Arabidopsis thaliana: one gene and its partners. The protein of the gene in region 3 interacts with the protein of the main gene of each other region in a pairwise test. Each region holds a gene or a part of one and is shown on either strand. Other genes may lie near its edges.

Region 1 (3,573 bases), on a different chromosome or scaffold from region 3:
AAATCATACAGTCACAGTCACAGAGCTCATAAACAGAGGTTTGTGTAAACGCCGTTATCATAAACACCGCGCCAAACACCTCAGCCGACGTGTCGCAAACATTGTCCTGATGACGCCACACGTGGATCGGGCTTTCGGATCCTAGTATGGTAGCCTTCGGTCCAGCATTAAATTTGTAACGTAAAAAAGTTGCAATCGTCAATTGATATAAAACATCTACTTATGGGAGTGATCCATAGTTGTGCGTAGTGACATGACATGGGTGTATATTTGGTTGAGTGGGGCTAAATGTCGTTAAGATAAGGGCTTAATTGAAACTATTCAACTTTCTAGAGGCCCCAATTTTACATCCCTTTATTATAACCCTTAACACGATTTTGTACGCATGCATATATATATATTTTAAAACATACTAACTTCTTTAAAAAAATATGAAATAAGAATTTAAATTATGTTAAGCGTCCACGTGGTAACGATGACGATTCCAGCCGTTGGATCTGCGACCATAGAGCATAACTGTTTTATACGTTTTTTGATCACAAAGTTGGCGACAAGAATCAAAATCAAATCTCATCCTTCCTTTGTCTCTCATTATGAAGCCGCCGCTCTTCTTATCTTCAACTTCCTTAAAACATTTTTACCATTTCAAATCGAATACTATTCAACTTAAGCAAGACTCTTAACCATCTGTTAATAAATCATCGGAGTTAAAAGAGTTGATGCAAAACACAAAAGTCAAAAGTTAGAAAAGCAGTCCAAACTGTGAAAATGACGTAAGCGTAAAGAAGTATTCTTCTAACGTACGCCGCAGCCAGAGAAGATGGGTCCGGTCCTCCCACGATTGGTGCGTGTCTTCACGACACTTGGACCATTGTCTTTTCAAGCCGACGACGACGATACTCATCACTATATTTAGTCTTATAATAATAACATTACCATTCTTTATCTATTTCTTCTACACACGAGCCCCAAAAAGCTCTATAATACTTTATCTTTTCAATTACGAATTTACGATGATGCATTTCCTTGGCAAATACTAAAGAAAAAAAAAAAGCTTAAGATCCTCTTATGTTACGTCGATTTATAATAGGGTTTCATAATAATATATACATAACGACTTTTTTTTCACGGCAGCTAAAAATTATATTGGAGCTTTTCTACACTTTCTTCTAAAAAACGGATAATATTTTTTTCTTAGGCAGAAAAAAAAAGGAAACGTTATTTTTTTTTGTCTAAAGAAACGACATAAGAAAAAAAAAACTCACGGCCTATTCCGCCGGAGGAGCTAAGTTAAGATCCAGATCTAACGGCGGAGATATCTTCCCAGCTCCACCTTCGAAATCAACGACCGACGACGTTTCAGACTCGCTCTGGACACCACACGTCGTCATCTTTGGATACGTCGCCATGTTATAGTAGTAAACCGGATGCACAAGCGGGATCTTACGACGACACGCGCCGCCGCCGCCTAAGCTGAGCTCGAGGTGCGGAGGTGTTATAAACCGTGCCGCCGTGGGAGAGTCGACGACGGTGCTACTCTGAGTAGGACTACTACCAACGATAACACCGAAATTGGTCTTAGCCTTAACACCACGAAAGTCACGCGCGGCTGCGTCGTAAGCACGCGCCGCCTGCTGAGCGGTGTCGAACGTACCGAGCCAGACTCGAGTTTTCTTAACCGGATCTCGGATCTCAGCGGCGTATCTTCCCCATGGACGTTTCCTAACGCCTCTGTAACGAATCTCTTTGGCAGCATTACTCTCATGATGAGTCGGGTTCGTTGGAGCAACCGGGTCGGGTTTCAAACCCATGGTGATGTTGGGCATGGTGTAATTAGGAAGAAGAATGGAACGAGAAGATCGGTGAAAGAGTTTTGTGGTAACGAGAAGAAGTAGAAGAGCTTCTTTTTATAGGAGAGTAAAGCAACGCTCCTTTTGGGGAGCTTTCTTGTGAACAGTCAAAGCCATTTTGAGAGATGGTTTAATTATCTCTCTCTCATGCTTCTCTTATTTCATATAAAAACTGGTTTTTGTTATTATATCCACTTATGTTTTGCCACGTGTTCACTTCTCTTTCTCCAAAAGAATCTTATTTATTACCCTTTTTCACCTTTGTAACAAAGACTGCACAAATCACAATCTTATAAATTAAGTTACTGCCTATTAAGAATATAATATAATTTGGTTTTTGCTGCATTTATCCCTATTTAAACTAGGAACATATTTGTACTAAATCTATAAAACATGTTATATCGCCACTTTGCAATTTTAAGTAATTTTTCTTATTAAAGCAATGTAATATGCGGATTTAAATCTATATAATGACATAACAATAATACTAGTATACACTATTAAAGAGTGTTATTAGTTTGTGATTTAATTAAAGTTTTAGTAACTTAAAATATTATAAAGAATCTATTGTTATTCAATTAAAAAAATTTAAAATATTAAGATTTGTAAAAAATAATTTAAAATCTTGATAAATCTATAGTTATTGGATTTATACTTTTATAAAATTATTATAAATTTTATATTATTTAGCTAAAACAAAAGAATCTATAATTGTCAATGAATTAAATTATTGTGTTATTGGTTTATGATTTTCTACACTTTTTCCAAAATAAAGTTACGAAAAGTATCATTAAAAAAGAAAGATTGTTTGAGAAAATTTAGAAATTGTGAAAAACTAATCAACAAGATTATAGAAAACTCTATAATAATAGTTTAGAAACTTTCATTTCTTTACAATCTATGATTTTATCAGATTCTTGAATTTTTTTTAATTAATTAAGAACTAATAACACCCTTTTAAACTATATGTTTTAGTTAGGTCAAGATTTATATATATATATATATAATATAAACTATTGTGTGTGTATCTAGTAGAAAAAATATTCAAACAAAATTATCGAATTTGTAGTTATATATGTTGTTAACACATAAACAAAAAAAAAAAAATTTGTAAGAAAATATATAGCGAACAAAATTTCTGAATTTGTAAATTATATACCGTTACATATATATATCGTTAAAGTGTCGACAAAAAAATATTTCTTACTTTTCTGTTTGGTAAAAGTAAAAATTATTTGAAATTTGTAATTTAGCGGATGTTACCATGATGACAATATATAATTTAGCGGATGTTACCATGAAAGCTTATTTGGTATAAAGGGAATAGAATAAAAATTTGTACTTTAGTATACCGTTATTCCGTTATAAATGTCGTTAACGAGCCGACAAGAAAAAAAAAATCTATTATTTACATGCTTATATCTGGTGAAAAATAAATATTATCAAACAAAATGACCAAAATTTTATATTGTAGTGGATTTTATATATGACGATATCATGACGAACAACGCATATATACTATTTGTGTATTTATTTGGTAAACAAAATATTATCAAAATAAATTTTTAGATTTATAACTTAGTGAACTATTTTATATATCGTGTATATACAAAAAAGAAAGAGATATCTACTACTTGCATATGTACATTGGATTAAAAATGAACACCATCAAACAAATAGATTCGAATTTGTTAGTTCTGTGGAGAAAATATACGTTGTTACA
Region 2 (4,737 bases), on a different chromosome or scaffold from region 3:
ATATGATTATTGAGATCATCAAATAGACGTTCGTCTATAAATGCTTGATATCAACCGTTAGTAAAAAAAAATGCATGTATGTCACAATATTTGACTTTCTTTAATTACCATATTTGATTAATTGATAGAACATATGGATGAGGTTATATAACCGACATGCCTATGATGTCAAGGAATGGTTCACACCGATCTATAGAAGTTTCAAGTATTATTTCCATAATAAACTGATATATAATTTATATTGTTTATATTAACAGGATGTGTGTGCATTATTTTAGAATTATTAACGTCATAATTCCCATGCTCGTTGATTTATACACCTTTCTCTATGTATACCCATGCATGGTAAGAACGTATCACATACATTATACTAAAATAAATCCAATAATGTAGACCGACACAAAATGCAGCGATATGGACCATATGGTTATTACGCATGTTACATAGACTTGTGTATTTTTCTGTATAACGAAAAATTCCTGGTTATTTTGTATATCATCAATGTATATGTCTCAATTAATTATAGACATATATAATCTATGTTTCATCCAACGAAAACACTTCAGAAATAAATGATCAAGCTGAAATCTATAACCATCAAAAGTTTTTAGTTCTAACTTCAATCTATAAATTTGTTTATAGACATTGTTTTTAAAACACATTTTTCTCTGATTTTCAGCAGAAAATGAAATATATATTCTTGGTATTTTTTGGGTATCCGAAAATTCACAAATATTGACGTATAAATACAGGTTCCTGCTTGGTGATGAGTTTCATAGATCCAGAGATTGTAAATCGTACGTGAGTCTTCAAACATAGCACCAGACTAATTAAGTTCTTAGCTACCTTATACGGATAATGGACCTATATATTTTTTTTTTGATAATTCTCCTTGTATCTTTTGATTCATAATCAAATAATTTTGGTAATATCATTAGCAAAATTAAATGCCTTCAATTTTTGCAACGGCTATAAATTGAACGTATCCAAACCACCATGCGCATAAACCTACTGGCATTAATATGGCATCATATCTACAATGCATCCCCTCGTCAACACACTTATAATTAACCAAAACAATCACACTTAATGCTTTGACCTATATGATTTTGTTACTATATATATCTACATTATCTTAGCATAGTCACCAATAGACCAGTCAGGAGTAAGATGTTAATCATGCAAAGAAATTAACATATTAAAAGAGATAGCTAGAACCTGAATAATTGCTCACAATGCATAAGATGTAGCTTCTTCGAGACAATGTAACCATGAACGAAGTGGAAGATAATAATTTGGCATGCGAAATAATTTATTGATAATCCGTACTGAATTAATATACATATATAAAAATTGTTCAAAAACCCTAATCAAGTATTAGAAAACTCTCACACTCAATAGTAATGAGGAAAACATTTCACAAGACAACTACTTCAAGCAAAAATCTCTAGAATAATAAAACCAAAGCCTTGCATGCAAAAACCACAAACTAAAACATATCGATTATCAGGTTCTTAATTACTTACTCAATACATTAATCAGAAAAATAAACAAGATGAAATCCGTAGAATATTAGAATTTAGAAATAAATAAAAATATATGAAAAAGAAGCAATGCAAAAAAAACACGCTTGTTAAGAACAAACAAACAAACGAAAGGACAAAAAAAGAAAAATAAATCTCACAGAATATATTTGTTTGTGTATGTTTGCCTAGGAATGATGACTGGTGCTTCCATCTTCTTGATGGTTGTGATGATGATCTCCGTCACGGTTTTGCTGGTTGTTGTTATGGTTCCCCGTCTCCGCCACCGGTCGGTAAGCAGCATTCAACGCCGCTAAAACTCCATAATGGCTATGTTCTCCACCGCCACCTCCTCCTCCTCCATAACCAGAAGCCAAAGGCTGTCCAGAAAACAAAGCAATAGGAGCTGCAAAATTCATCAAATGAACTCCACTACCGCCGCCACTACCACCACTGTTGGGGTTGTAAACATCTCCGGCGACAACACCGGAATGATGAGGATTAATATTAAAAGCCCAAAGATTCTGTGTGTTGTCACCACTACTCCAAAACGGTGCCGTTGCAGGACTCTGACTCGTAGGTAAAGATCCAGCAGTTGATTGTACTAGATAGTTACCCATTTGGTTGTGATCTAAAAGCTGTGAAGAAGAAGAAGACGAAGAATGTGACTCGTTCTTGGGACGAACCTGATGCTGATGTTGAAGATGATGAGTCATGGACTGATGTGGTGAATGAAAGTAATAGCTACTAGGAGTTGTACGAAGATGAGCAGCAGAGAGAGAAGATCTTGAGCTACGAAGTGAGATGTTTAAAGAAGTGAAGTTAGCCGGAATGGTTCCAGTCCCTGTAGCGGCTATAACCGCTGGTTCTGCTTGTTGGAGTAGCCACTCAATAGTTTCACCGTCGGATTTGTGACCAAGCTCACGTGTGAGCTGAAAGACACGTGCAGCACACATGGCAGGCATACGGATCCGACGGCCTCGGCCTTCGACTTTGGTGTGTCGGTCTTTAGTAGAGGTTCGTTTAGGAGGAGGCTTCTTAGGTTCGGAGTTAGGTTCGGAAGTAGTAGAGATGATGGCTAAGGAAGTGGAAGAGGAGGAGGTAGAAGAATCAAGAAGCTGGAGAGGGAAGTTGGGTCGATGGTTATGATCCGGATCCGGATCCATGATGATGATGATGATGATGATCGAAGCTTTGGTGGTGGGGAAGTGGGACTATACTACTGTCTCTGTTAGATCTTTATGTGAGCCATAGTTTTTTTCTCTCTCTATAAATCTCTGTTTTTTTGCTGATACTTAGAGAGAGATAGAGAGGTTATAATATGGTCCTTAGGACATGAAACTCCTTTCAGATGGGAAGCTTAGCTGTGTCTATGTCTGAGAGAGAGAGAGAGATTAAAGCAATGAATATGAAAGCATGGACTTTTTTTTTCTCTTGCTGCTTTATATCTTTTGTGTTTTATTTTTGGAATTTTATTTACATTATAAACTATTCCCTTTGAGAATTTTTCGTTATTTTTGGAAATAAAAGAGATGGGCTTACGTGGTTCTCCAATCTGTACAAATATTCATTCAAATAAAATGTTTTTCCTTATTACGTACAGTGATCAAAGTGAGTGAAAATAAATGTTGTTCGTGTATTTATTGTGTTTGGATACATAGTTTTTTACAATAATACAATTACCCTATACGAACACTCTTTTTCATTCTTTACAATAATTAAAAAGTGACGTCAGTTTCTCGTCGTAACTGTTAACTTCAAGCGATCGGGAAATTAATTGCACATTTAGCGAAAATTTCAGCGATTCAGACAGAACTGAGAAGTTTACATATATTTTGTACATATGTGACAACAGAATAATAAATAGATAGAATTATTATTGACAGAATGACAGTGATTAATCCATGGCTCTATGGTAGTTCACGAGATCCACATGATATAATAGAATCCAACTGCTTTTTTTATGAAACAGATGGATTGTTTTTTCTCCTCTGTGACTCTTGAATGAGTTACCAGTTTGATATTATTATTTATAAAACCATAGTTACAGTGCTTTATAGATATATAAAAGCAAATTTGTAATGCTTCTCTTTTGTTTCCACCATTGGAGTTATCTCATTGACATACAATTGTCGTTAAAAGATGTAGCACTAAATTTAGAAAATTATTTTGATACTCTGATGTGGACAGAACATTGATCTTTTTTTTCTGAAACGAATTTTTATATGTAGTGAATAGTGATGAAGAAGGCTCCTTCTTATGTGATGATTATTCATATAAGCTGTTCAAAGAATCAAAATATACGGTGTTACATAGATTATACTACTAATTAGGACCAGCGTAATATATATATATATATATATATATATATATATATGGTAACGTTAAAAATATAATTGAATTAGAGAATACAAAAGAAAAAAATAATATAAAAGTAAATTCGAATTATTATGAAGATATTTTAAATAAATATTTTTTAAAAATCTCAAATTTGTGTTTTATAGAAATTGAGTGTAACAAAATAAATCCAAGTTATTACATAAACCAACATAAGCATGCATATAATAATTGCCAGGTAGTATATTTGAATATACATATGATTTTGTTAAAAGAAATGGAGAAAACCAATTATAAAAATTCTTACACATATTAATTTTGAGTTTAGGCAAATTCATCTTTCTTAGTATATATTGAAAATTGTAAAATATATTTGTTATAATCTTACTATTCTTTTTCAAATGTCTAAGCTTTATGAAGATAAAACTTCTCAAAAATCAAAATATAGTATTTTCTATTGTGGCTAATTATCGTCTCTTAGTTTAGACGAATCATTAACGTTACGTGTAAGGTGTAACTAGTTCTGATGATCTCTTAGGAACGTTGATTAGTCTAACTATTAGAAACTTTACGCATAGCCACATAAAACCTATGGGATGTCCAAACATTTTCGCCCAAACATATTTACAAATGACAAAATTTTATATTTTAATTACTTATATATGTGATATCTTTTTATGTTTTAACTAGAATATGTTCATTGACCATAATTTTCCCTCGTAAAATATAAATAACTAAAAGTATCGGCCTGCTTGTAGTAATTAGTAAACCAATCAAAATATCAAGAAAACTATATATCAAAGACTAAACAGAAAAGAAAACGAATTGATAGTTAAAAGGTGTTGTGCATATTTGACAAATCTAAAAAGCAAAACAA
Region 3 (6,101 bases):
CCGTCATTGTTGCATACAACACGTAGAAATTAGATGGGTCTAGAAGTAACGAAACACTGCGTTTTGTTGGATTCTTCTTTTGGAACTCGTAAATTGACAACTAAGCTTGTTTACTCGATGTTGGGGAGTGTATAGTACGATGATCGGAAAATGAAATAAATATAGTCGGAGACTGAAGAAAACTATTCTGAGAAGCAATTTCCGTTGGGATCCGGTGCTAAGGATTTAAATCATTTTTTAGTCCAAAAAAAAAAAGAAAAAAAAAAGAAGGATTTAAATCATTTTATTATCATCGCATTATTGTATACCAGGCCCACTGATTGCTAAGGAAACTCGTCATTAATATTAATGGGCCGAATTCTAGTAGGCCTGATAACATATAGTCACTTGACCCAAAACGTTTTTTTTTTGTTATTTATCATGCTTGCTCATATCCTAATGTCATTTTTGTTTGATTTGCTACTTATATCCACCGCTCTATATTGCACCAAAAGAAAAAAAGACGAGTTAAATTTAAGTCTGATATACACTTTTAGATTAGCTTATTGCTATCACTGAATTTTTGATCTTACGAAATAAATTTATCTTAACTTTTAATTTCCCTCTATTTTGACAACAATTGTCGTTTGATGCATGCCCCAGTTCTTATTTAATTATACCATATCACTATTATAAAACCATTAATGGGAGCAATAAGATTGAACCATATGCAACAATCTCAAGAATCAGATTTTGAATGGAGAAATTTGAACAGAATCACATCGTTTTACATGTTTTCGGGAAGCAAATGCTTGTGCATATTTCCATTCTTAGTTTAGTTTGAATTTTGAAATGTAATATGATCATTCCCCTCTTGTTTTCTCTTCGGTTAAATTTTTGTGATATATTCATTCTGGAGGAAAAAAAGCTTTGGATTAATTGGTGGTTGTAATTTCCTTTGAGTTTCTTTTACATATGGCGATGGTGTAAAAATCTATTAAAAAAGTCTGATTATTTAAATTTCAAATTCGGCTTTCAGTAATAATAAGAAAACATTTTGATAAGTTAATTAATTATACAACTACAAATGAAAATTAACTTAAGAAACCCCATTAATTAGCAAGATTTTTGATTACAACAACAGAAAAAGACACATGCATATTTATAATATATATAAATAAGTTCAAGAAAGGAAAAGAAACCACAACTTTTGGACATGATAAACCCTAAGAAATTGGATTTCAATTCCTCAAATACTTAGTCGATTATATTTATCTCTTTAATAAGGAGTCACACCAACGTTAGCAGCTGCAGGAGCGTAGAACCCTTCTTTCATCACCATGTTATCCTCTCCCTCCTACACACATGTTTAAGATATGATCCAAATCAATTGAAATTATATTTGTATATATGATATTACATAAAAGTATATGCATTAAAGATGTAAGGTATGTCGACAGATTAGGGTTTACCTGTTGGGGCATGTTGGTTTTCTTCACGGGTTGATTGTCTGGCACGAGCCCGAAGTGTATGTGGGGGAAGTGGGCCCACTGCATTACACATAAACAACATACGTACAAGACACATATCAACTTGTGTTATAACCCGACAAAATTCTTTACTCCTAATTTCAGCTATACCTACATATATGACTGTTTAATATATATACAACTAATACAAGAGCAACTATACGCATAGATAAAATCAAACCCTAGTTTCTGCCGGCAATCTAAACCAAGTTGTGATGTTAGTAGTATCAATGGCTTAAATTCTTTAGTAAAGGAAAACAAAGAATACTTAAAACGCATCACTTCTAACTAGAATTTTCAGCGTTTAAAAAAATAATTTTTTTATTGAACTAGAGATAAATATGGATTATCAAGGACTCTTTTGATTATTAAAATTTGATTCAACCAATGGATAACAGTTTAATATAAATTTTTGGGATGTGAGAAATAAGGTTCTTACATTCTTGGCAGCAGCACTAAAGGCTTCTCTGTGGCTTATATCAGGATTACCAGCTTTGATACGTTGGATCTCCTCCCTAAAATAAAAACGTGACAAGGAATTATATTAATGTTACACAGTTATGGTTAGAATATGAATGATTGTAAAAATTAAATAAGAGACTCACTTGATGAATCGGTTATATGCGGATGGGACTCTCTGTCTTTTCTCTGGAGCTGGCAATGGCGAAATTCAACGGCAAAGACAAAGCGAAAAAACAAAAACTCAGACAGAAAGAGACAAACACTCATTAAAACTACTTTCATTGTCTTTTTTCTCTCTCACACAAATACTTTCTCTCTCTAACCCATCATCACTTCATCATGTTTTTTTAAAGACAAGCCCATCTTCTAACATATTACATAGATTTTTTCTCTTTAGCTAGATTTCCGGGGGATCCATGAATCTATCTCCCCGTTTCTTTTATCGTCACTATTTTAATGTTTACCAACGCTAAAAGCCATCTAGGATATGTAGACAATCAACACATACTAAAGTTCATGGATCAATGAATATTTTAAATATACAAAATCATAATCTCTCATGTCTCCTTCTAGTATACAAAGAAAAGAAAGGTAAAAAATCTCCTTCTAGACTTAATTCAATGGTGCTAGGGTTTGAACGAGATCCAGTGAAAGTTAAATAAGAAAAGCTATGCATGTCTTAATGGCGATTCATCATCACAACCAAATTATAAACACGGTTAGCATAGAAGTTAATATCATAAAAGTGAGAAGAATTAGTATCTTACGGCGGTTAACGGGTGGTGCTTTAGGAATCTCATGTTGTTGATGAAGATCCATGAAAGATGGTATGTCATTCATAGTAGGATGTTGATTCATCATCATCATATTCATGTTAGACGGTGCATCTCTCAGCTCCTCCTACAATAATATTTATATCCTTGAGGCTTGAGATTACTTCCAATAAGCTAAATGAGACCCTATAAGATTATGTATTTGAATTTTGTTTAAGTACCAGAATATCCTGGGGATTGAAGTAAGAGTGAGGACCGAGCTGGAGCTGGAGCTGGTTAGAAGCTGGGAGGACATATGATCTCATGTTCACCGAAAGGAGATTGGTACAGCAACCACATCGGACAGTTACGGTCTTGAACAAGCTTGTGTAAGGAACATTAACCTATAAGCACACAAAAGAAACAATGAATTTAAAAAACCCCTAATCTTGTATAGATCAAGAAGATGAGAAGTTGGAGGAGAAAAAATGAGAGAGAAAGTATTGAAGAGAGGTTATTTTGTACCGCAAGGATGGTTTGGCAAAAGTTGCATTGGACATAGCAGAGATGGTCGGAAGGAGAGAAGTGGTCCGGTGAACAAACAGCTGAGGAAGGGGAGGACATAGACGACATAGACATCTTTTTTGTAAGAAGGGGAAAAATATTGGAAGCTGATCTTTTTTTGGGAGTGTTTGGGGATTTGATTGATTGATGGGTATTTGACTGATCAGAGGATTCTTGATAAGGAGAAAATAAAAAACCCCACCATGATCTGATCTTCTTGATTGTTGGGTTGCTGTGTATTATATACCACAAAGGAAGATATATAGAGAGAGAAGAGGTGAAAGGAGTGAGAAGGGAAAGGGGATATTAATATATTAGAGGGTAAAAATTAAACAACAAATGCTCTAATTGTAGCCTCTAGGTCGTCTACTATTAATTTCGTTAATTAATTCGGTAATACTGTGTGTATATATATAATGTGGTGTATTATACATTTCAATTCAGCGATACATATATTCTTTAAAGAAATTCTCCAATGGGTTATATACAATTTTAGGTTTTGAATAGTATAACAGAGTCAGCGGTAGTGAACCAGCAACATAAATGGAATAAGTTTGGATGGTGTAGAACAGATAACACAAACCAAATAAAAATAAATATGCCGGTGTTTAATAAGACAATAACTATTTATATAATTTTTCATTAAATCAAGTGGCCGAATAAAATTTATGATCGATAAAATAAACATACATTAGTTTTTTTAATAAGTTTCGGAACTACACCCTAAACACCATTTGAATAAGCAGTTCATTTTTTTCACAAACAGTTTTTTTTATACCTTTTCCGTATATTCTTATAAATTGTATTGCCACATAACAATTGAATTGTACCACCACTATACCGCACTCTTTGTTTTTATTTATCACAAAATGCATAATCTTGACAAGTGGATCCAGATATTAAACAAATGTTAAATTACTTTGAACATAATATTAATTGACAAAAGAATTGGACAATTTCTTTACAAATATCACTTCTTTTTTTTTGATAAAAATATACATCTCACTTAGATCTTTTTTAATTTTTAATTAGTCAAATGATGCGAGTTATTATTAAATCTTTGTTGTCAACATCCAATATAAGATTTCTTTTTGATAATGCCTATATTAGAAATTCGGTTGACCATGCGGTCTCACCCTTACTAGAAAACGTAGACATTAAGCATCTATACCGTTGTACCTCTAAGATGACCTTGTGGTCACAAGGAGACAAGACTGATGACAAAATAGTTTTGAGGATATTATCGCTTAAAGATGGACCTTTTTCTATCTGATCTCAAACAATTACAAACCTAATTTTGCAATCAATTAAATTTTGGTCTATACAATTAAAAGCACATGTTAATATATGAAAATAGCTATAGGCATTTATGTTTCTATATAAATAGAACAAGAAATTCTAACTAAAGAATCAAATTTATAGCTACTATACAAAACTTTCGACAAAAATATGAGATTGGATCAATATAGCGATGACCACTAAACTACAAACCACTTCATGATCAATTTTGAAATCTTAGGAAGAAGATATTGTAGTACTAGTATGAACAAGGGAAGATTGAGGCATACATTAGAAGATTCGCGAGCTTAGGCTTTGGGGTTGGGGTTGCACGTGATGACACATGTAATGTGTTTGCAAGTAAGTTAAGAAACGACGAAGCTCTTGAAAAAAAATTTAAGTGAAAAAAGTTTTAAAGCTTTGACAATAGAATTCGCAGTTCCCAATGGAGGAAGAGAAGAGAGGAGAGAGAGAGGGCGGCAGAGGTGGGGGGAAGAAAGGGACGTGTGCATGGGAGTGATTAAGCGTCGCCTCATTCACCCGTTGTTGTCATTCCTTAATTACCACTGCCATTACTTTTTCTCGTTTCTCTATACAATTCCTTTCCTATTTTTTTAATTTTTTTTTTAATTATTAGTATTTAATTTCAATTGAAACATACTTTGTTTTGTTTGTTTGTATCATGTATGTATATGTAGAGATAAACATGATGCTCCATTTTTATTGATTGGTTATCATTAGCTTTTTAGTCAATTATATGATTGTTTTTTCCCCCTCCATTTGAATATTTGGAATCATCCAAGTCTAGACTTTCCATGAAAGCGAAAGTAAATTAATTCTATTTTTGTAGTTAAAATTTCCGAGTTAACCGGCTGCTTATCAATATACTAGTTTTATATTTCCGTTTAACTTAAATCGTTATTTTGTTGTTTTAAAATATTTGGCATTTATCACTTAATAATTTACGCACGCTCTCAAATGTGTATCCGAATTTCATTGATTAGGATAAGGAAACTATATGATTTATCTTCCTAGCTATTTTCTAGATTACAATTTTATTTTTAGTTTGTATTGCTTTTGCTGGATAAGAAAACTCTTTTTAACTAAGAATTATACAAGGGAAACAGCCAATATACTAATGTAGTGTTTCTCAATGATAGTTTTAAAAGCGCCATGAATATGTACGTATATATAGGAACACCATATTGGTGAAAGCCACGAGCAAAACTCCACACGTAATTAATTTCAAACCTACATATGATTTTATATAATATTCCATTCTCATTTCAAGTATAGATGTCTAAGAAAATATCTATGCACCTACTTGCGAAAATGATGCAATGCATATATCATATATGTTTTGTCCCACCAATTGAAAATAACTCCTTAGCTTGTATATCAATATTAATTAGTATTTGTTACTAATCGATCCGAAGAATCATAGAATTAGATTATGTAATGCAAAATCAATCGTGTTATTGCTACTAGTATTTCCTGCCCCCAAACAACATTTAAGTGGTTAAGTTAGTTAATATTT

The links.
Region 1: the proteins of AFO (region 3) and ERF8 interact in binary tests that used the Arabidopsis thaliana proteins (3 or more experiments, as listed by UniProt).
Region 2: the proteins of AFO (region 3) and TCP15 interact in binary tests that used the Arabidopsis thaliana proteins (3 or more experiments, as listed by UniProt).

What each region holds. Positions count from the first base shown.
Region 1 is NC_003070.9:19,820,271-19,823,843, forward strand, and holds ERF8 (ethylene response factor 8), read right to left. Parts: upstream 1,983-3,573; 5' UTR 1,827-1,982; coding exon 1,269-1,826; 3' UTR 1,067-1,268; downstream 1-1,066.
Region 2 is NC_003070.9:26,214,401-26,219,137, reverse strand, and holds TCP15 (TCP family transcription factor), read right to left. Parts: upstream 3,130-4,737; 5' UTR 2,690-3,129; coding exon 1,712-2,689; 3' UTR 1,067-1,711; downstream 1-1,066. UniProt on the Arabidopsis thaliana protein: Transcription factor involved the regulation of plant development. Together with TCP14, modulates plant stature by promoting cell division in young internodes. Represses cell proliferation in developing leaf blade and specific floral tissues.
Region 3 is NC_003071.7:18,627,192-18,633,292, forward strand, and holds AFO (Plant-specific transcription factor YABBY family protein), read right to left. Parts: upstream 3,589-6,101; 5' UTR 3,362-3,588; coding exon 3,248-3,361; intron 3,238-3,247; exon of another isoform or gene 3,127-3,237; coding exon 2,965-3,126; intron 2,871-2,964; coding exon 2,738-2,870; intron 2,163-2,737; coding exon 2,114-2,162; intron 2,024-2,113; coding exon 1,948-2,023; intron 1,530-1,947; coding exon 1,452-1,529; intron 1,337-1,451; coding exon 1,259-1,336; 3' UTR 1,061-1,258; downstream 1-1,060.